3 linked regions of the Drosophila melanogaster genome follow. The gene in region 2 interacts genetically with the main gene of each other region. Each region holds a gene or a part of one and is shown on either strand. Other genes may lie near its edges.

The links. Genes that interact genetically often act in the same process or in processes that back each other up.
Region 1: of RacGAP84C (region 2) and MESR4, changing one suppresses a phenotype caused by changing the other (phenotypic suppression), as found in Drosophila melanogaster (one study listed by BioGRID).
Region 3: of RacGAP84C (region 2) and rho-6, changing one enhances a phenotype caused by changing the other (phenotypic enhancement), as found in Drosophila melanogaster (one study listed by BioGRID).

The regions. Positions count from the first base shown.
Region 1 is NT_033778.4:17,546,256-17,552,426, forward strand, and holds the start of MESR4 (misexpression suppressor of ras 4), read left to right. Parts: upstream 1-1,513; 5' UTR 1,514-2,279; intron 2,280-2,630; 5' UTR 2,631-2,707; intron 2,708-2,813; 5' UTR 2,814-2,831; coding exon 2,832-5,136; intron 5,137-5,188; coding exon 5,189-6,171. Other genes in the region: cyp33 (cyclophilin-33), read left to right, coding at 1-129; RpL18A (ribosomal protein L18A), read right to left, coding at 216-731, 1,154-1,171.
Region 2 is NT_033777.3:7,282,051-7,289,430, forward strand, and holds RacGAP84C (Rac GTPase activating protein at 84C), read left to right. Parts: upstream 1-3,911; 5' UTR 3,912-4,054; coding exon 4,055-4,374; intron 4,375-4,510; coding exon 4,511-5,318; coding exon of another isoform or gene 5,319-5,342; exon of another isoform or gene 5,343-5,401; intron 5,402-5,438; coding exon 5,439-5,465; 3' UTR 5,466-5,579; downstream 5,580-7,380.
Region 3 is NT_033779.5:12,128,358-12,135,305, forward strand, and holds rho-6 (rhomboid-6), read right to left. Parts: upstream 5,055-6,948; 5' UTR 4,983-5,054; coding exon 4,737-4,982; intron 3,079-4,736; coding exon 2,935-3,078; intron 2,709-2,934; coding exon 2,529-2,708; intron 2,461-2,528; coding exon 2,239-2,460; 3' UTR 2,159-2,238; downstream 1-2,158. Other genes in the region: CG17211 (uncharacterized protein), read left to right, coding at 1-56, 161-1,272.

The DNA.
Region 1 (6,171 bases), on a different chromosome or scaffold from region 2:
AACAAGCACGTCGTTTTTGGCCATGTCATCAGTGGCGCCGAGGTGGTGCGCAAGATGGAACGTTGTGGCTCCAAGTCGGGCACTCCCAGCCAAAAGATTGTCATATACTCCTGTGGAGAACTCAAATAAAGAAGCTTTCACAACTAGTGTACTCTTCAACGTTCTCATTTATTGAAAAAATCCACTAAGTCATAGGTATAGGATGCAGGAGAATCCTACTGGAAGTAGGTCCTGGGCTTCCTGAACGAGAACAGTTTCCTGTTGCCCTTGTGGTGGACACGCTGGACCAGAGGGAACTTGATCTTTGAATCGTGGAACTGCTTCACGTGCACGCGGCGGGTCTTGGCGGCAGGGATCGAGTCCACCTTAATGATCTGGATGGAGTGGGCACGGGCACGGTGGCGGGCTCCCATGTCGCGGTAGCACTGAGTGACGGCACCGCCGACAGTCAGGTCACGGTACTCGCGGTACATGTTGTGGGTGCCCGAGCGGGAATCGTAACGCAGCCAGATGCCGAAGTTCTTGATCTTCACGGGCGACGTCTCGTACACCTGCTTGATGGACACGATCTCGCCGGTGGTCTTCTTGAACTTCTTCAGTTGGCGCAGGAAGTACCAGAAGCGGGATTTGGCCACGATGTTGTCGGGGGCAAAGATGCGCATCTTGTAGAGGGGAGTCTGGGGCTCCTTCTCGCTGGGCAGCTTGCGGCCCACGACCTCGTACTCCTTCAACTGCAAATGGGATTTGGATTAGTTTAAATGGTCTACATAAAACAATTGTAAACAAATGCGAACAGTCGCAGGCAAACAAACACACGCATGGCTGTTGGTTTTTGAAGGTTATGTTTTCGGCGGCACAAAGCAGTTGTATTTCTATTATATTGAATATGTTTGAATAGTTAGTTATAAATTCGTACTGAATAATAGTTTCTCACAATTATGTAAATTACTTTTGTGAGTTAGATAGGATCACATTTTTAAGAAAAGTGGCTCGGCAAACATTGTCCACGACAATGTCGTTTTTTACACAGAAATTACGGAGTTTTAAAAAATCCAACGATTACGCCAAATAGGCTATGTTTTTGCTTATCTGTTGCACGCATTTTAAACTAAAATAATGATTGTATAAATCATTTATTTTGGCAAATACTAACCAATCCCTTGGCTCTCATGTTGGACGTTCACGCGAAAAGGAAACGGAAAGAGCTTGTCAAATCGGTATGACACTGAACCTCGATTCAGGGATGGAAAAAACTATCGATAGCTAACTACGAATATTAGTTATGATTGATCCACTGTGATACTGGACGTGCTATAATGGTTCGTTTAAAATTAAGATAATTACTCAAGATAATATTTTTAAATAGCCCGTGTAAATAAGATTTTAACAATAATTGCTGGTACTGGCCAAGTATCGATATGCTTACATTGAACCGCAAGGGAAAAGCACAGCGATGCCTGTCACACGGTTGCATTTTTGGCAGTCACACCAACACGCTGCGCCAGCTATCGAACTATCGTCCATCACTAGCTTCTGCGCGTGTTTCAATGGCATGGCTGTAAAAAAGGCGAAAAATATTGCTAAAAACTTGTTTTTCACGCTTTATTCGAGCTCTCTCCGCAGCCAAATTGTGAAATATCCAATCCCCATACGCTACCCAATGTGCAGCTACTAAAATACGGTGAAAAAGAGCGCGAACAAATCGAGCAGAACGTAAAATGCAAAGCGTGGACGGCGACGTTCAAAAAGAAGAACATTTTTTACCCCGCACAAGAGACGCGCAAAAAGGCAAAAAAGCAATTCGACAATATCATTGTGCTTCTGGTCGAAACTAAGCCCAACGGCAATTGGGTGCACTTGTGAAATCTGTTTGCATTACGTATGCGAGTCCTGCGAGTTTATAAACAATTGAAACCAGGCGTTAATTGTATAAGTTCGCCGTGGGGTGGGGGCGCCCCGCTCTCCTTCCGAGCCGTCTCGGCTCGTCCAATCCAATCCGCTGGGCAAATTCTCTCGGTTTCGGTCTCTTTTTGGTTCAGTTGTGCAGCGAACTTCCGTGAAATCGGTTGTTGTTTTGGCTACGTTCTCTCCTTGCTGTTTGCGCGCGTAAAATTCATCGCTCTTTCTCTCCCTCTCTTGCCTTCCCACTCTCTCTCCCTCTGCCGCCTACAAATTGTGGGAAAATTCTACCTAAGCAGGGTACAGCAACAAGAACAACAACAGCAATAATACGCTGAGCAGAACCGACAAAACAACAGCAACGCATAGGAGGAGAGCAGGTAAATAAACGTGCATAATTGCTGTACATTTTGATTGTAGTGTCCATTCCAAGAATATTTCAAGTAAATTCGTTTATTTTTAGCAGTAAGTGGCTCTCACGTTGCCATTTTGTTAACATTTATTTTGGTATTTTCAATTATTTTGACTTTTCGTTTGCACCAGGGCTGCAAGATCAACCAATGACCGGCGATTTTTGTGCAATACAAATGTTTATGCCGTTAATATTCTGAAAAATTTATCGTGTATACCCCCGCATAAACATTTAGCCTTTGCTGTCATTCTAATTTTTTTTTATCGAAATACCAAACCCAATATCTCGTAATAATAAATTCGTTTCATTTCGCTTTCAGCTGCGTAAAGAACAACGAAAAGCATACAAGAAAAATAGCGAGAACCGGAACGGATTCAACGCCAACGGCATGCAAAGGTAATGAATATAACAATTTTTGTCTAAAGTGCGTTTAATTAATAGCGCTCTGATTATTTGTTTTTCTCCTCTTTTCTTAAATGTTATTATTGTTTTTTGCTGACAGCGTGTGATTGCAGATAATATGATGGAAGCATTGGATCAGCAACAAGCCAAGCTAACGTCTAACCGAGATGATGGAGAAGCGGGAAGAGGATCGGAAACGGGATCGGAAGAGGGCACCGGGGCAGGTGCAGCTGCTGGCGAAGAAGACGACATCGAAGAACTTCATTATGTGCTGGACCAGGCGAAGGAGGAAAACGAGAGCCACCAACATGGACAGAACAACAACGCTAAGGGAAATGAAGATGGGAAGCCGAAAAAGAACGATGACGTGATAGATGTAACCATGGCAAATGGCCAGGGTTTCAAAGACACACCTGAAGAAGAGACGACCGGAACGGAAGAGACAGCCGAAACGGAGGAGACAGCCGAAACGGAAGAGGCAGAGCAGGCAGAGGAATCTCTTCTTAATTCACGAAAAAGCACGGATACACCAGTCGATTTAGGAGCAAATTGCTTGACAACTGGCTCTCCCTCTAAAGATCTCGTAAAGCAAGAGCTTGTCGAAGACAAATCGGAGGAACTCAAAGAACCAACCAGCATCTCACTTAATGAGCAGTTCTTAGATGATATTGAACTAAAGACCGAAGTGGAGGACAAATCGGATTCCTTAAGTGAGACCCATATGGAGTTCTTAACGGATTCGGAAGAGCAGCCCTCAGAGTCTTTAGGGGCAAATCATGAGTCCGAAATCGATGAAAAGGTGGACCACTTCCAGCCAAAAGAATCTGACAGCAATGAAGTGGAGGATAAGTATTTTCAATCAGCAAATGAAGATTCCGAAAGCGAAATTGAGGAAACAGTGTACACCCCGCCAGTGATAAATCTTGAAACAGATTCTGAAAGTGGGGATAAAGAGTTCATATCAATTAAAGATAATGAGAGTCCTGTTTTGGAGATTGAAGGAGGGACAGAAAAGAGTCAGACTTCAGGAGATCTTTACCAAGCTGACGTTGGTGAATACGCTTCCACTGCACCGCCAGAAGTGGATGAGACTACATCGCAAACAATTGGTGTACCTTCTTTAGAGGGATCCGATACACTGGATTCTCCTTCGCTGACAATGGATGTAGATCTTCCATGCAGCGAAGACGGAGCGCCCCCTAATGTCATTAAAATCGAGTCTGATATGGAAGATGAAGCACACAGTGATAGTGTCAAGTTGAAAGAACATACTGTAGAGGTCGTTCCGTTGATAAAACTCAATGGGGCACATAAAGCTTTGAAAGAAGAGAAGCTCGAGGACGGGGAGGTCGAGGAGGTCGAGGATCCCGGCGAAGAGCTGGAAGACCCCAAGGAACAGTCTGTGATAACAAACCACACTGGCAACAACACTAAGGAGGAGGACACTACCGCTTCTCAGGTGTCAGCGCTTCCCCTGATTCTACCCGTTGGTACCACCCGTAGCAGAAGTATAAGCAGCAGGAGCAGCACTGTAAGCTCTGCTTCGCAGCCGCATCTGGTCATCGATCATCCAGAGAGCGAGCACAATGCCAAACCGCCGGCTCTGAAGCTTTCGCTGAAGCGCAGGCGCAGCAAGAGTTCCTCCGTCAGCCAACCCGAAAAACAAACAAAGGTGGAGGCAGGTGGCTTCGTTTCCTCGCTGCTTCTGCAACGCCTTCAGAGCAACTCTAATGTTATTCCGCCTGCCATCTCTACGGAGTCTCAACAAGTCCTTAGTTGTGCAAAGTGCAATTTGCAGTTCGATTTCGAAAGGTTTCAGGAGCTGAACAAGCACCAGGCCCAGTGCAGCGGGATCCAAAGTGCGAATAGTTCCCAGCTATCGCAGAAGCAGGAGCGATTCTTTCGTTGCTCCCAGTGTTGCAGCGTTCACCAGTGCTGGCACTTTTTTCTCCACATGCGTGAAGTCCACCGTCGTTACATTTGTCTATATTGTAATCATGTGTATCCCAGTGTAGAAAAGCTGTCGCTGCATCTAGAAAACAAGCATGACATCGACCAGAGTCACTTCGCTAAGGATGCGTGGGACCAGCAGCAGAGTAAGGAAGATAGAGCACGGCATCTCGTTTGTTGCACATGTCAAGCCACTTTTGTCCAAGGTTCTGAGTTTGAGGATCACGATTGCTCTCAACTGATGCAGCCGTGTGCCTTGTGCAATCAAAAGGGTGGCCATATCATTGGCTGCAAGAACAACAAACGGAAGCCTACGAAAAGGCGTCGAAAGGTGCGTAGACCCCCGGAACCGCCACTACCCGTTTCCCAGGAGGCGGTTGAACAACCCGTGCCCGTAGAGGCAATACCGGAACAACTTCCCCAACAGTTGCACCTGCAATCGGATATTCAGAATCCTTTCCCTGCAGAAAACAGTAAGAACAAATTGATTAAATTTTTAAAATGACATATCTAAATTTCGTATAGTTCCAGCGCCAGAGCCCGTAGAAGATCCTCCAGCGCCTCCCATTCCGAAATTGGTTGTGCCCAAAATTATGTTGCGGGTGCCTAAGGAATTCCAGAAGTCTGTGGATGCAGCCCTAAGCAGTACGGATACGGAGGACGAGGAGCTAGAAACTGCACAGCCTGTGGAAGAGGCAGTGTCGGCACCACCCGAGGATCTACCTTTTGATGCACCGCCTCCTCCACCGCCAGCGCTTAGCTATGATGACTCGACTTCGTCTAAGCTAAATCGTGTTCTGGCAGAACTGGAGCGCACCAAGCTGGACATTGAGCGAACCAAGGCGGATATAATTACCAAAAAACAGTCCAAGATTATTATGGCCAATGCACATTTGGAAAACGTTGTGCCACAGGTTGTAGATCCTCCTCAGCACCTGCAGCCACAGCAGGAGGAACAGCGTCGTTGGTCACTAACGCCACCTGCGTCGCCCCACAACAATCACGTCAATCTTCCAGAACCTCCGCCAGCTTTAATTACGGAATTTCAAGGTCAGCCCGATGCAGTGCGTCGCAACAGCCTCGGCAGCGATTGCATGGACATGGATGATAGTTTGAATGCACCAGAGATGGAAGGTAGTAGGGACTTTACGGAGGCCCAGAAGGAAACTCTGGAGCCAGCCCCACCTTCGCAGGATACACAAACTGCTGACGAACCGCTTGCCATTCAGCCGCTTCCACCCGCCGATGGCATTATGGTAGCTGGACCCGACACCCACACGGTGGATCTGCAACTTGATCGTCCTCTCGACCGGTTTTCAATGGTGGATTTTGTGCGTTTGTGCTTAAAATCTGTGTACTCCTTATGCCTATATTGCAATCACGCTCGAAGGATCGCAGTAAATGTAAAACAGTTGGTGATTCATTTAATAGGCCAGCACAGATTTACAGCTACGGTGGATAGCATTACAGCTGAGGAACTGTACGCAGAGACAATTGTAGCCAAACTA
Region 2 (7,380 bases):
AAAAAATCTGAAACAATATATTTTTGGGGGGCGAACCGCACACACAGATACTCTCCAGAACACACACACACACAGATGCAGAGGCGACGCAGCATCGACAGGCAGACAGACAAAACGCGCACTAACACCACTGCGAAGCTTCAAAACGCAGCGGCAGCAGAGTCCATCTGTGTCTGTGAGTGTGTGTGTGTGTGTGTGCTTGTGGGTGGCTGTGGGTGGTGTGGGTGTGGGCCTGGCTTACTAAAGGCCGCCGCCGGCCGACACAAACACACTCACACAGCCAAGCGGTAACTTCGAAAAAAAGCAGCGGCCGCAGCAGCAGCAGCGCCAACAACTAAGCGAGCAAAAAAAAAAAAACCAAATACAACAAAAAAAGGACATAGCAAAAAAACCGAAAAAATATCCAAACGCACACAGAGAAAAAAGTTTTGGTTGCATAGGCGGCGAGCTGTGGCGTCGCAGTCAGCGCCTCTGCTGCCGCTATTCAAATGCTGCGACGCCGGCAGCGCTGCCACCTGCCAGCAGCAGCAACAACAACAGCACAGGAGCAGCGCCAACATTGACCCAAACTCAAAGAGGAGCGGAAAGGGGGTGGGGCAGGGGGCTCTAAAAAACGCGGAAAAAAATTGTGTAAAAAAATAAAGGGGAATTTTGCGCCGGCGACAAACCCACGCACACAAGCACATGGCCATGCCAATACACTCACACAGACGCACTGGAATTTTTTTCGCTGTTAGCCTTTGCCGCCCCAAATATCCTGTCTGCCCCACCCCCTGTTAGCCACCCCCTGCCACCATTTTTTTGCATTTTGTTTTGTTCGACTTTGATGCGAACGTACTTTTTTTTATTGCGCAAAAGAGAGGGGAATGCCGCAAGAGAAGGAGAAAGAGAGAGAGAGCGAGAGCACACGTTTCATTTGACTTTGCAGGCTGTTTTTGTGTGCTTTTGAATATGTTTGTGATTTGTTTTTGTTTGGCACTGGTCAACAATTAACAAAAGTCATTATTGTGGCTCCGCATTTATTCCGGCGATATTTCAGCTAAAATACCGTTAACTGGCAGATTAATCAATAGCGCCGGGAAGTAGGCAACTGTTTTGCTGGCCGCCTTGTTTCTGTGGTTGCGCTTTCTAGCACTCAATCAGCCCCACATGGGTTTCGCTAGAAATCCCCAAAAAATGTGGCAGCGAACGGGTGGCCGCCCCCCAAAGGGGTGGGCCCAAGCAGAACTCACCTCGGGCAGTCGAAAAGCAGCAGAAAAAGCAGGAAAGGCAGCAGCCTCCGCCCTGACCTAAGCCACCGCGCTGGCTTAACTGCCAACAGCAACCACCTCACATTTGGCCACCCACTCCGCCCACTATAGCCCATTCAGCCCCCCACCGCCGGCCAACCCCAGCTACCCCCAGCCATCCCAAACCACCCCACTGCAGCCCTCTGCAGCCCTCTGCCGGCGTCGACGTTTGTCTGCTGCCGTGGTTGCTGATATTTCTAAGTTCTTTTTTTCGCATTGCAACCTTGCCTCAACTTCTTCGCCCAGCACAACCCACCCCCGCTCTTTTTTCTTCCCAGCAGTTTGCACATTTTTCCCAGCATTTTTTCCATTTCCATTTGCTGTGCATTTTTTTCTCTTGGCGCCCCTCCTTTTTCCAATTTTTTTCCTGCCACAGGAAATAAATTTTTTCCTTTCTGTCGCCCCGTCTCGCTTGCACCTTGTGCATTTTGAACCCCCCCCCCCCCCGTTCGCAAAACACAATCATTTTTTTGCAGTCATTTCCCCACCGCTTTGGTGGTGTTGCTATTGCTGTTGCATTTGCATCTGTGTTTTCGCTTTTAGATTTTGTTTTTTAGGTTTTTGCATCCTGGCCGGCGGCAGAAAGAAAGGGAGAGGAAGAGTCTTAAAAAATAGCAGAGTTGCCATTGAAAAATACAATTTATTATAAATTGTTGTTTTTAGTGCCCAACTAGAATTGGGTTAGACAAAGCGACGATTGAGGCGGAATTCTTTAACAGGTTGTTTTGCGATTTATAGTTCAATTCACAAAAGGTCACTTAGTGAACTGATTTTTTGTCCTTAAAATCATATTGGTCATCTTATGTGTAGGCCAGCTTTTCAGAATTTGAATATCTAGTTTTATCCCACATACTGGTGGGTGTTAATATTTCTATTTCTATGTGGATATTTTAAGAGTGTTCCCTAGTAGCTAAATGATATACATCTGAGACTTTTAATTAATTAATTGCTGATTTCATGGTTTTAGTACAGAAAACCATGTGCTAAGATGTTTTTAAGCAACATCCTGAATCTATAACAATTGCGTTAAACTTTTTCATTCTGTTAAGAAGCTTTAAAGTTGAAATATTTTGAGCTCGATGCAACCAAATAATTCCTTAAATTTTGGAGGCACCGGATAAAAACATTTTGATCAACTTTTGTGTGTGAAAAATTAATTATCACCACGTGGCAACACTGTCAACGTGCTTTGATGCCATTTTTTCCCACTCGTTTTTGCCCAGAACTCCCCTCTTTTTTGTATGTTTTGTGGATGTCCAAACATTTTTTATGCTGTTTTGTTGTGTTTCTGTACTTTTTTTTTTTGCTTTTTGGAATACGCAACGGACAGACACACACATAGGGCCACACACGTATTTGAACACACACAGTCAGAGGCGAATCAGAAAAAGTACAAAAAAGCATTTTGGGAAAAGTGGAGTGAGGAGTGAGGCAGGGGATTGCATGGGCTTATTGCGATGCGTGACTCGTATTTGTGGACTTTGAATACAAACAAAACAGTCGGACACAGATAGAAGCCCACACAAGTGCAATTATGAATACTACGCCCACACACACGCCGCATAATCACAGAGAGAGACACTCTCACTCACTGCAATGTGTGCATTTCAATACGCATTAATAACTACGAATTCAATGTGGCAGTGGCAACCATCCTTAGTATTTCAGCCCAAAGCTCACACACACCTAAACCCACACCCTCAAATGCTCACGCACACATAGGCACACCGGCGTCAATGCAGCTGACGCCTAAAAAACGACTACAAAAAAGCATAAAAATCCAATTCCCCGCCTTGCTCGTTAATTTTGCTGGCGCTGCTCTTCAATTCACAGCCCAAAACTGAAAAGTGCCATGATAATTTTGTTTTTACTCTATCCAAACTTTAAAATCGCATAAAAATCAATGCCAATGATGCCATTAAATCAACAGACAGATCCATGTTTCGTTTTCCACAAAAGTTCCAAGCTCGAAGTCCCTTTAAATTCTAATTTTTGTGTTTTTTTAGCAGCACGTTTACTCAACATTTTCGCTTTCTGACGTTCCGGCCTCACATGAACTGCAGCATTTTTTCGTGCTACATTTTTGCTGGTTGCATTCTATGTCTGGTGGCCGCAAAACGGTTTTCCATGAATTTTTCATCCATTTAGCGGCGCCATTGAGCCATTTTCTGGGCGCTTAGAATTCATAGATACTTTAGCAAATTGTTTTTTTAGTTCGATTTTCTACATTCTTTTTGTTTTTAGGGATTTTTAGCTTTTGTATCGTGACATTGAATCTCGGTGTGATTGATTGTCTTTAACGATTTAATTGAATCGAAAATATAAAAAGATCACCACTGACTTGTTTATATGAAGAAGACAGGGCAAATATCTGTTATTGTTAGGCACAAAAAATGTTTATAATAATTTGATTCACTTTTTTTTTGTATTGAAAACAGCATTTTTGATATTTCTTAGTAACACCTTAGTCGCCCATTAAATTTCTGCGGAGCACCCTAGATGTGTGTATGAATTATCCAGAAATATTTACAAATGTACGACCCACAGTAGGCACTCTCTATGGGTGATCGAATTTTTGTGCTGCCAGAACTATTTAAGCTATCAGCTTTCACCCGATTCCAAATAAACCGTAAGAGTAAATAAACATTTCGGTCGAGTATTCGGAGAAGCGAGCCGATAACTTCTGCGTAGCTGACTCAAGCCGAAGTGGCCTCTCTTCGGAAATTGCCAACTGACCAGAACAGCTGAATCAATTCGCCAACTTTATGATTAGTGGCTCTGGGAGTCGGACGCCCTCAAATCGACTTTATTTGTCGCCCGTTCGCCCCACGATGCAGAACAAACGGAGGCTTCTGCGGGAGTACAGGTCCTACGATGACCTCAGCGAGCACTACCGCATGTTTGGATCGCAGTCCCTGGACTCGCTGCAGGATCGCGTGGACATGAATCCCAGTGGCTGCGATGGCTTATCCACGGACGGACTCGACTTCTGCTCGCAGTCCCACTCGGGGCTGCTGAGGGAGCACAATTTCAAGATTAAGTCCTACTACTACAACGTGGGGAACTGCGTACACTGCCGCAAAAGGTGAGTTGCAATCACCGAATGGTGGAACTTCTGAGAGGATTTCGAATTCAGGGAAAACATGAAAAGTTAAATAACATCCCAACCCTCTCTGACCAGCATTTACCTCCCTAACCGCGTGTCCCTGGTCTTCTTCCAGGATCCGCTTCGCCATGGCCAGCCTGAGGTGTCGGGCGTGTCCGCTCCGCTGCCACATCGGTTGCTGCCGCCAGCTGACGGTGAACTGCATCCCCCAGCCTCAAATCGGTACGAAGAGAGGATGTCTCAGCGATTATGCGCCTCGGGTGGCGCCCATGGTGCCGGCCTTAATTGTCCATTGTGTAACGGAGATCGAGGCGCGGGGATTGCAGCAGGAGGGACTCTACCGGGTGTCCTCCACCCGAGAGAAATGCAAACGACTGCGTCGGAAGCTGCTGCGTGGCAAGTCCACGCCGCATTTGGGCAATAAAGACACCCACACACTGTGCTGTTGTGTTAAGGACTTTCTTCGGCAGTTGGTTCACCCTCTGATTCCCATTTACCACCGAAGGGATTTCGAGGAGGCCACGCGGCACGAAGATCGTCTGGCTGTGGAGATGGCGGTATATTTAGCGGTTCTGGAGCTGCATCAGGCTCACAGGGATACGTTGGCCTACTTAATGCTTCACTGGCAGAAAATTGCCGAAAGTCCTGCTGTCCGCATGACGGTCAACAATCTTGCCGTGATCTTCGCTCCAACTCTGTTCGGAGATCTGGATCTAACCCTCGAAAATGTCGTCACTTGGCAGCGGGTGCTGAAGGTGCTACTTCTGATGCCTGCCGGATTTTGGTCTCAGTTCTTGGAGGTCCATCCCCTTCCCACTTCGTTGGGCAGCACCTATGACTTTGAGGACCGGTACAATCACCGTCACTGGGACAGCTCGTCCAATCTGGGATGGTCTTCTGTTAAGACCTACTTTAGATCAATGGTAAGACCTATGGTTTCCCTTTAACGGATTTGGATAGAATTTCATATTCGAATAAGCCAAACTCAATACAAGCAATCAAACATATCATACAAATCTTTCACTGAATACTTCCTGTTTCAGGTCAACCTTAGCAGTACTCACCTATAGTGAAAGTCTTATGACTGAGACATCGAGAATGGATGCAGTCACCCTTTTTTATTTTATTTTGTATTTTTTTTCATTATTCACTACAGTTGAAGAACTAATAATAATTGGATCTCTAACATGTTGTGTATGTGTTGTTGAATTATATGCGGCTAACAAGAGTACTTGACATCTCAAGTGCAATACTTGATTTATTGAATCACCAAAAGATACTCTCAGAAAACACCCATTATTTCCATATATGAAATTCGGCTAATTAAATATAAAGCCAGGCCAAAATCTTATTCGCACCACATAAATAATCTAGCATGGCCCAGAGCGACGTTATCGCAAAACTATATATTTCGAGTATTGAAACATTAATAAACATTTTTAATTGAATTTGCAATTTTTTTCGCCGAACGTTGATTAATTCCCAACCGTTGAAAACATGTAAAAAATTAATAATTTCCATTTCCCATATTTATGTTTCTTTGAAGCGTAAACCAAAGCACAAAGTAAAATATTTTGCCGCGAACACATATAAATAAGTTAAAGCGCCAAGAAAAAAGTTAGCATTTTAAAAACAATTTGGAGAGTGCCGTGCAAAAAAGTGCGGCCATTAAATGCAAAAAACAAGCAAAGCAAAACAAAACTCGAATGCACTGGACGAGTGCATAAATAGACTCACTCCCAATATCAGTCGATCCGATCCCAAGCCAATACTCGTACATGGTCCAAATAATGTATAATACAATCAAAACAAACATAAAGCGAGACGGCAAGCGTGTGCGAGCAGTGGCGAACGAGGGCCGGGAGGGAAGAGCATTTGCAGTGCGCTTCTGTTGCTAACCGCCACAAATATCAAATGGGCTGGCAATTGTTGCAGTGGTCGCCCGTTAACGTTAACCAAATGCTAATGCCAAAGGCCACAAAACGCAGGCACGCACACCAGCGCGTTTTTTAGGGGCAGTTCGCACCAATACCGTGTCAGAAAAATGCAGCGAAAAAATGCAAAAATAAATAGGCAAAACAAAAATAAAAATAGTTTACATAATTCATGTATTATATCGGATCACATTTTAATGCTCGCCGCCGCGCCACTCTGCATGTGTGCGTGTGTGTGTGTGTGTACGTGTGCGTGTGCGGAAAACATTGCCTACTTGGGGGCGCGAGTTAAAATTGTTTAACAAATGGCATGACTGCAATGTATGTGAGTGTGTGTGGCTTGTTTGTGTGCGCCTGCATAATTCGCGTGCAGTTTTTGCTTTTTTAAGACTTTTTAGCCTATTTTTATTGTTAATTAAATGAGGGGAATAACAGACACAGTCCACCGAAGTGGAGCATGCAAGTGAGTGTGTGTGTATGTGCTCACGCTCTCGCGTGTCTGTGTGTGTGCGTGTGTTTGTTTTGATGTGCGCAACAAATTTGTGCAATTTTTCTATTTTTGTCGGCAGTTTTTCACCCGCTCGGGCATTTTCCGCTCGTTGTTCGCATGTAATTCACTAATTGATAGTGTGAGCTTGCCCCATACCGCCAAAACCGCCACGCCCCCTCCCGGTCGCGCCCCCCCGCTCCACTAACCACTTGTGTAATTGTGTTAGTGCCTGCCACACATGAGCTCACACAAAGTTGAAAGCGCAGCAAAGAATAATGGAAAAAAGTAAATGCAAATGTCAAACAAAACTAAAAAATTGCAGTTAAAAATAGTAGGAAGCGTATTATGCGTGGCGAGGTGGAGCGGAAAGAAAAACTGAAAACCAGAATCGCTCACCAATACTGGCACAGCGTGGTGCTAATAATAAGATAGGGTAAAAATCGCAGCGCACTTTTGCGTTTATTTCAGTTAATGCTGCACTTTTTTGCCGCTTTGCTAGGCGTGTTCTATAATTTTATGTAAGCTTTGTGTCGGTCGGCCCAAACAAGTGGGCGCGGCATG
Region 3 (6,948 bases), on a different chromosome or scaffold from region 2:
GCACATTATCGACATCACAACCTCGGGCGCACAGGAAAATGATACTGCTTCAATAGGTGAGTTGAAGTTTTTAGAACTTTAACAAGCTTGTATATTCTTGCACCGCACTGAATTTGAGAGATTTATCTAAAAATGTCCACTTGGTTTTGCCCTTTTACAGAAATCACTACACCCGACCCCTTCAAAGATGTCATACACACAGAACCGTCGCCCAATCTCGATGAACTAATCGTTGACAAGGCGAACAAAAAGCCGATTGAAGAGCATATCGAGACCGTCACTTACAGTGTTAGCAACTCAACAGCCTCCTCCATATCGTCATCCACAAGCGGCACAACCAGCACAACCAGCACATCCACGTCGACGACAACGGAAAAGGAAGCCCCCTTGATAGATAAATATGAAATCAATAAATTGGATAAGCTCTTGGATGAGCTGCTCGGTATGGAGTTGTCCGAAGAGGATGCAGCAAGCAGGACAGTGCCTGCATTTAAGCAACTGCCTACGGCAACGCCAACGATAGCAAAATCAACAACAGCAGCAACAGCAACTGCAGCAGATGCGAGTGCAACAGCAGCAACAGCAACTGCAGCAATTGCATCAAGCACGGCTGCAACATCGACCTCTGGTCGGCCAACAGTGACGACACGTGCTCCGGCCAAAAAGGGAAACGGCAAAACGAAAAACAAACAGACCAGCGGCAATAGACGCAAAGTCCAGAGTGGCACGCGACGCCAGAGTACACCGGCAACCACTCGATCCCCGCCAGCAGCGACATCAACGGCATCAACTGCGTCAACAACCGCGGGGCTTGCCACAACAACGGGGAGCACTCTGCATCCATTTTTAAACTCACCGTTCGACAAATTACCCTTCATGGATACCAGCTATGAGGTAAGACCGCACAGATTGCAACCGCAGCAACAGCAGCAGCAGCAAGCACCGCAGCAACATGAGCAGCCACCGCAGCAGCAATTCCACCATTACCAGCATGCAACGCGACCGCCGACAGCAGCCCCATCAGCAGCGTCATCATCCCCGGAGGATGTGCACCAGGATTCAGGTTCTGGTTCGGTTGAGCGGACTGGTGGAGGCGGACTGGTGGGTGGACTTCCGGGTGGCGATGATCCGCTTGGTCAGTTGAAATTGGCTGGCTGCAACATATACGGACGCATGTATCGGGTGGGTCGGATTATTGTGGAGCTATCCAGCCAGTGCCTGGAATGCAAATGCACCGAGGTGGGCGTCAAGTGCGGCCCATTAGACTGTTAATTTAGATATCCCCCCCCCCCTACGATTGTAATCCCCCCAGGAAGTCTGTAGCGGTTAAGTTTCAGTTTGTAGCAGTAGCTTTTAGTTCGTATTGTACTACAGGGTAGTTTAGGCCTTCTCAAGACCCTAAGTTGTATTATAGAAAAAAATGATTAATATATTTAAAACTTAGCATGGCATTTATAACATACAATAATTAAGGCTATAATTAAATAAGAAGTACACGAAATATATTTAATAAAACTAACAAATAAATTATCAAAATCTAAAGTCTTTGTTTTGAATTATTACACTTTATTATTTATTTTGATGAAAAGTCAAACAACAACCAACAAATTGGTTTATAAATATTGATCGCATTTCAACCTTGTGACAAATAACAAATTGCTAGTTTGGGGAAATGTTTCTACGAATTGTGTTGAATTTAATTGCACATCAAGATCATTATGGAATCCATGAGTTTAAATTAAACATTCCTGTCTGCGTCAGCATTAATTGGCCAAAGCCAATCGATGAGTAATTAATAAATTCTATACAGACTTATTCAGTTAGCAAGTATAGGCCAATTAAATGTGTGGCGAGTGAAGAGCACAAAAAACAAGCCATAAAACATGGCCCACCCTTTCTTTATGAGGTGTAAATTTAATGTTTATTCATAACACCGAAATTAAACATTAACCACGACGATAGAATAATAATTTTCAATGGATTTTGCGACCAAATAAAAGACAGTCCACACAGGAAATATTTATTTAGGGACTGTTGGATTGTCAGAATATTAAATAGTCTAAGAAGTTGTTGAACTTTTTGCAGGTTTAATAATCAGACATTAATTGCGTTTAATGATTGATCTTTATCGGCTATAAGATAAAAGTCTTTCATGACTGCCTTCAATTTGTTTTAAAACGTATTTTTCACTATGATATAAATATAATATATATTTGAATGGAACTATCTTATTTGAGACTAAAAGTAAATGGCCTTTTGATTGGCTGGCTGCAGGCGTCGATAGACGATGAAACCGCACAGAATTCCGGCCACGCCCCCTCCAATATGCGCCTCCAGACTGGTGCGCGGATTGCGATTGTGATTGTGGCAAAAGTGGTAAGTTGTAAAGCCCACATCGCTGAGTAACAATATCAGCAGGGAGGCGATGCGGGCAAAGCGGTGCGACAATTGCGAAAAGTTCTGTTCGACAAAGTAGGGATCGTGTAAACATTAAATCAAAATTAAATTGCGGTTTCCAGCTGACTGACCAGAACCAGGTGCGGCACATGACTTCCCAGCATGGCGTAGACCCCAGCGGAGGCACCCATCAGATGGAGATGGGGCTGCAGCCAGGCATTGGCCAGCGAACCAGCGACGCCACCCACCATATAGACCACGGCCAGACGCCAGTGACCCTGCTCCACTTCCAGGCAGATACCTATAAAGCACTGGCAGAGACATTAACCTTCTTAGTAACACAATGCAACAACAGGTGGCTAGCGACAGGATGTGACTATCGAATTACTGCCAACTACTAAGTGCTTTATGGCATTTAAACGAGCAGTTTAGGAAATATTAAAGTCGTTGCTTCACAAAGTGAATCTCTATAGCTACTTTAACTTTGTTGATTCGAACTATTGTTTAGAGTTCATTAGGTCAAAGTTGGGTACTCACCTGAAAGCAAATGTTGAGAGACAGATGCCAGTAATCGGAATGGAGCAGCATATAGGTCAGTAGGCGCCAGTACTCGACGTTCCATTCCGGTTTGAAGATCAGTACTTTTTGCATACACTCACTAGCTATCCAGTGCAAAGATATCTGGTAATGAGCAAAGAAGATTACATTGCACCATACTGCATGGAACTTGAAAAAATTTAGAGCAACATATATTTAGGGTAGTTATCTGACACTTTATGTAATAACATACTTTGGTAGAATATTTGGAATTTGAATATAGCTTATTCACAAGCAAAATTAGAATTTTATGTACAAGTGTAGTAAAGTAATGCAATTCATGATAACTTCTTCTTGTTAAGAATTAAACTCAGGCAAGTGGCAGTTTTCGATTGAAATCGTGAGAAGTAAGTTGTCTTCGCCATAACGAAGCAATCCCAACTTTGCTGAACAGTGTCATGGTAACTGGCTGTCACTTTCGCTCAATCGATCGACACTTGGCCAACTGCAAAGTGCGAGTGTTGAGTTGAGATGCCGCACAATGCGCGCCGCATGAGTTGACAGCAGCCGCAGAAACACGGCGGTGACACCAAATCGGTGCAACATGCATCCCGATCCCACCAAATATGACAAATGCCAGAGCTCCAAGTTGCAGCACTCGATCAATCCGATGACTAAAATGGCAATATTGCTAAATCGGACGACTAAGCGACGCGTTCGATTGTGTAATCATTATCGATTTCTGGGTTGGGCCAAACAATAAAACCTTTCAAATCACCGATCTGCATTACTAAGTGTGCAGAGTGTGTAATGAAGGTATGCAGTCAGGTATTAATTAATGAGTTTCAAATTAAATAGGCCACACTTGTGGGACTTTGTTTCGAAGACAATTTCCCAGGGGCCAATTGGCAATTAAGCGGTTGAGCACTTGATAGAAGAAAAAACAAATGACCAACTTAAAATGGCTAATTTGTCTTATAATATGTTGCCCAAACACAACTTTTATTCACGTTAAATAACTAAAAATCGAAAAGTAATTGTATCAAAGGACAAATTTATCAGTGATGTCTAAATAAAACCTCTTAAAACACATTCATTTTGTCTGTTTGTTGTGCATTTTGATTGAATGGATTGGTGTAATATATCACTTATTTTCCGCTTAGTTAAAACCGCAATAAATCCGCATACGTAAACTATTGAAAAAATTTTCCAGTGAATGAAAATTCATATGAATTGAAAAGCAATTATTTACGAAGCACTCACACAATGGCACCATACACGGATAAACAAAACAAAAGCAAACGAAATGTTTTGTTTAAAACAAATCAAGTAAAAAGATTCTTATTAAGATGCGGGAGTATAAACAAACACATTGTAGATCACTTATGTTAGCTTTTTTTTTAGCTAAACATGAGTAAGAAATTAAGAGCTTATCAGTTCAAAGTTCATAATATTTTGTTGAATATAAAATTCTTTAAACTCTGTTTTTATATTTGTGATTAATATTTTAAAATTCGTTTCACATTAAGGAATTCATAACTCAATTAATTTAACATTGATAAGCACCGCCGTAGTCATCACATATAGTTTCACCTTTGACACATTCACAGGTAATTTATTAGCCTACGTAATTTCTTATCTGACGGAGGGCTTTTCATCTATACACATCGTATATAGATGATTTTCTGAATTGAACACACGCATCACAAAATCACTCATACGCCACGTTGACGGGCAGACAAAAAAGGAAAACACAAAATAATAGAGAATCGAACAAGTGGAGCAACTGCATAAAATCGAACCTGCACAAAACTCATCAGCAAAATAAACCAGGGCACCCGCCACAATCGCTTCCTCCTCACATGGCCCACGTCAATGGTTCGTGTCAGGTCATCAATGAATTTCTTGTGCGATTCCGCACTGAATGCGACACTCGCCGGATTGCCATCCGAATCCGTGGAATTCTCCGGCAGCAGCAGGAGCCTGACATCCTTGACGCAATTGTTATTACTTTCACTGGCACCATTGCTCTCCACTTGGGCAGACATAATGCGATTCGAAGTCGGCGGCGACAACCGATGCACGGAACGTTGAACGCGCGACTAGGCCGAGTGGGTGATTGTTCTTTCAAATGCCCCACGATCCATTCCGATCCGATCGAATCACGCCGGTTGCCTACAACATCATTGCGAGCATTGTGCTAATACAGTGATTTTGGGACTTTCAGAAGCATGCTTTTAGGCGGCCTACGGTTTTTGTCTCGACTGCATCTTATTTTAAGAAAAATCTTGAGATCACTTCAAGATATTATTTTCTTTATTACGAAATTGGTAGTTATTATGTATAATATGTTTTGAAACTTTTTTATAGAACGATTTACAGGGAATAAGTTTGAATAAATTGTATGACAGATAGCTGGTGCCGCGAGGCGCTACAAAATATTGGACGTCACCAGTGCAGCAGGACGAGGTTCAGGACCAGGATACGGCAGTGACAGTGGAGCTTCATTTAGCGACCACATGTTGGTAGGGTAGGTAGGTAGTTAGTGTTGTTGGCGCGTAATCTCATTGATTACATTTTGTTACATTTAGGATAATATTATAAATAATTATTGTACATTATTAGTCATTGTGTCATTGTGATGTTAATTTCTTACATTTTACACTTACAATAACAATTACAACTGAAATATAATTTAAATACCACCATTTCCTACATAGAATTTTCTCTTATTTTAAAAACATTTCCTTGGCATTTGACATTTTGGTGCGGGCGATGTTGCACGCAGGTTGCAGCAACAATTCCGAGGAGCAAACACAAACACAGAAATGTGGTGAGAAGCACTCGCTCTCTTGGCAGTAGCGATTAAGCTTTCAGAGAGAGCTTTTTTTTACTCATTTCAAAGTTTATGCTTTAACAAAAAAGAGACAATTTGTAGCAGTCTTCTCATTCTCGGTTTTTTTTCGGTTTTTCTTCTCCTAAAGATTTATCTTGATGATTTCAACAGCTGTTTTACATTATCAGAATGAAAATATTGCGATCGCATACATAAGCATGTACAATAAGCCATGATTCCAATTACAAGACTATATTATAATTGAAACACAAATTTAATAGTTCCGAAATGTTTTAAAAAATAAGAAAAAATTAAACCTACGAAATGGGTGTGTTGTAATTGTAATTGTTATTGTGTTTTGAATTTTACCTAGTATAAAAACAAAATCCACAAATCTTGTTTTTCAATCCTCTTTACCAAACCGTTCGCAAATTCAACTGCAAGTGAAAGTGCAAGAGGAAAATTTCTCTCTCTCTTTCGTTTGGCAGCAGGCGTCTCTTTCTACGTTGGACACGTGGTGGGCGTGGGCGTGGGCGTTGATGGTGGGAGGCGACTGTCAACACCGAATGCTTGGTTATGAATGGCTTTTAATGAAATATTTATGTAACAAGCAATAAAGAGCACTTTTGGCTTCTCGGCGGATGCGAAAGAGATGGCAGCATTGCGAAATAGAAATGTCGAAAGAGAGGGGGGGATGCACAAGAGCGTTGGAAATAATTGTTTGGCTAGTTAAGTTTGACGCTACGTTGAACTAAGATAAAGCAAACACATAAACGAGGAAACACACACTTGGCACAACACACAACCGTGGACACACAAATAGCAGTGGTTTGTTAAATTTTGCTAGTGAAATGTAACTTAATTACATGATGTCAATTTTCATTTTACTACGTTGTGTATAAACAATATAAATATTTTATCATTTTCTCGCCTTACACCATCTTAATTCTTAATTCTCTGACTTAAACAGCAACTGAACTTGCACGCATTTTTCTCAGTGCTTGTCGTAAACTTCCTTTGCTGGTTGTGTTGCCAGAAGTCATTAACAGTCAACGGCTACGTGCCACAAAAGTGGGAGATACACCCTATAAACGGCAAACTGACAAATGCGGCAAGGCCGAAGGAAAGCAAGAAAGTTGGCTACTAAGCCAGACCCCAGGCACATATCCCGGCTGATG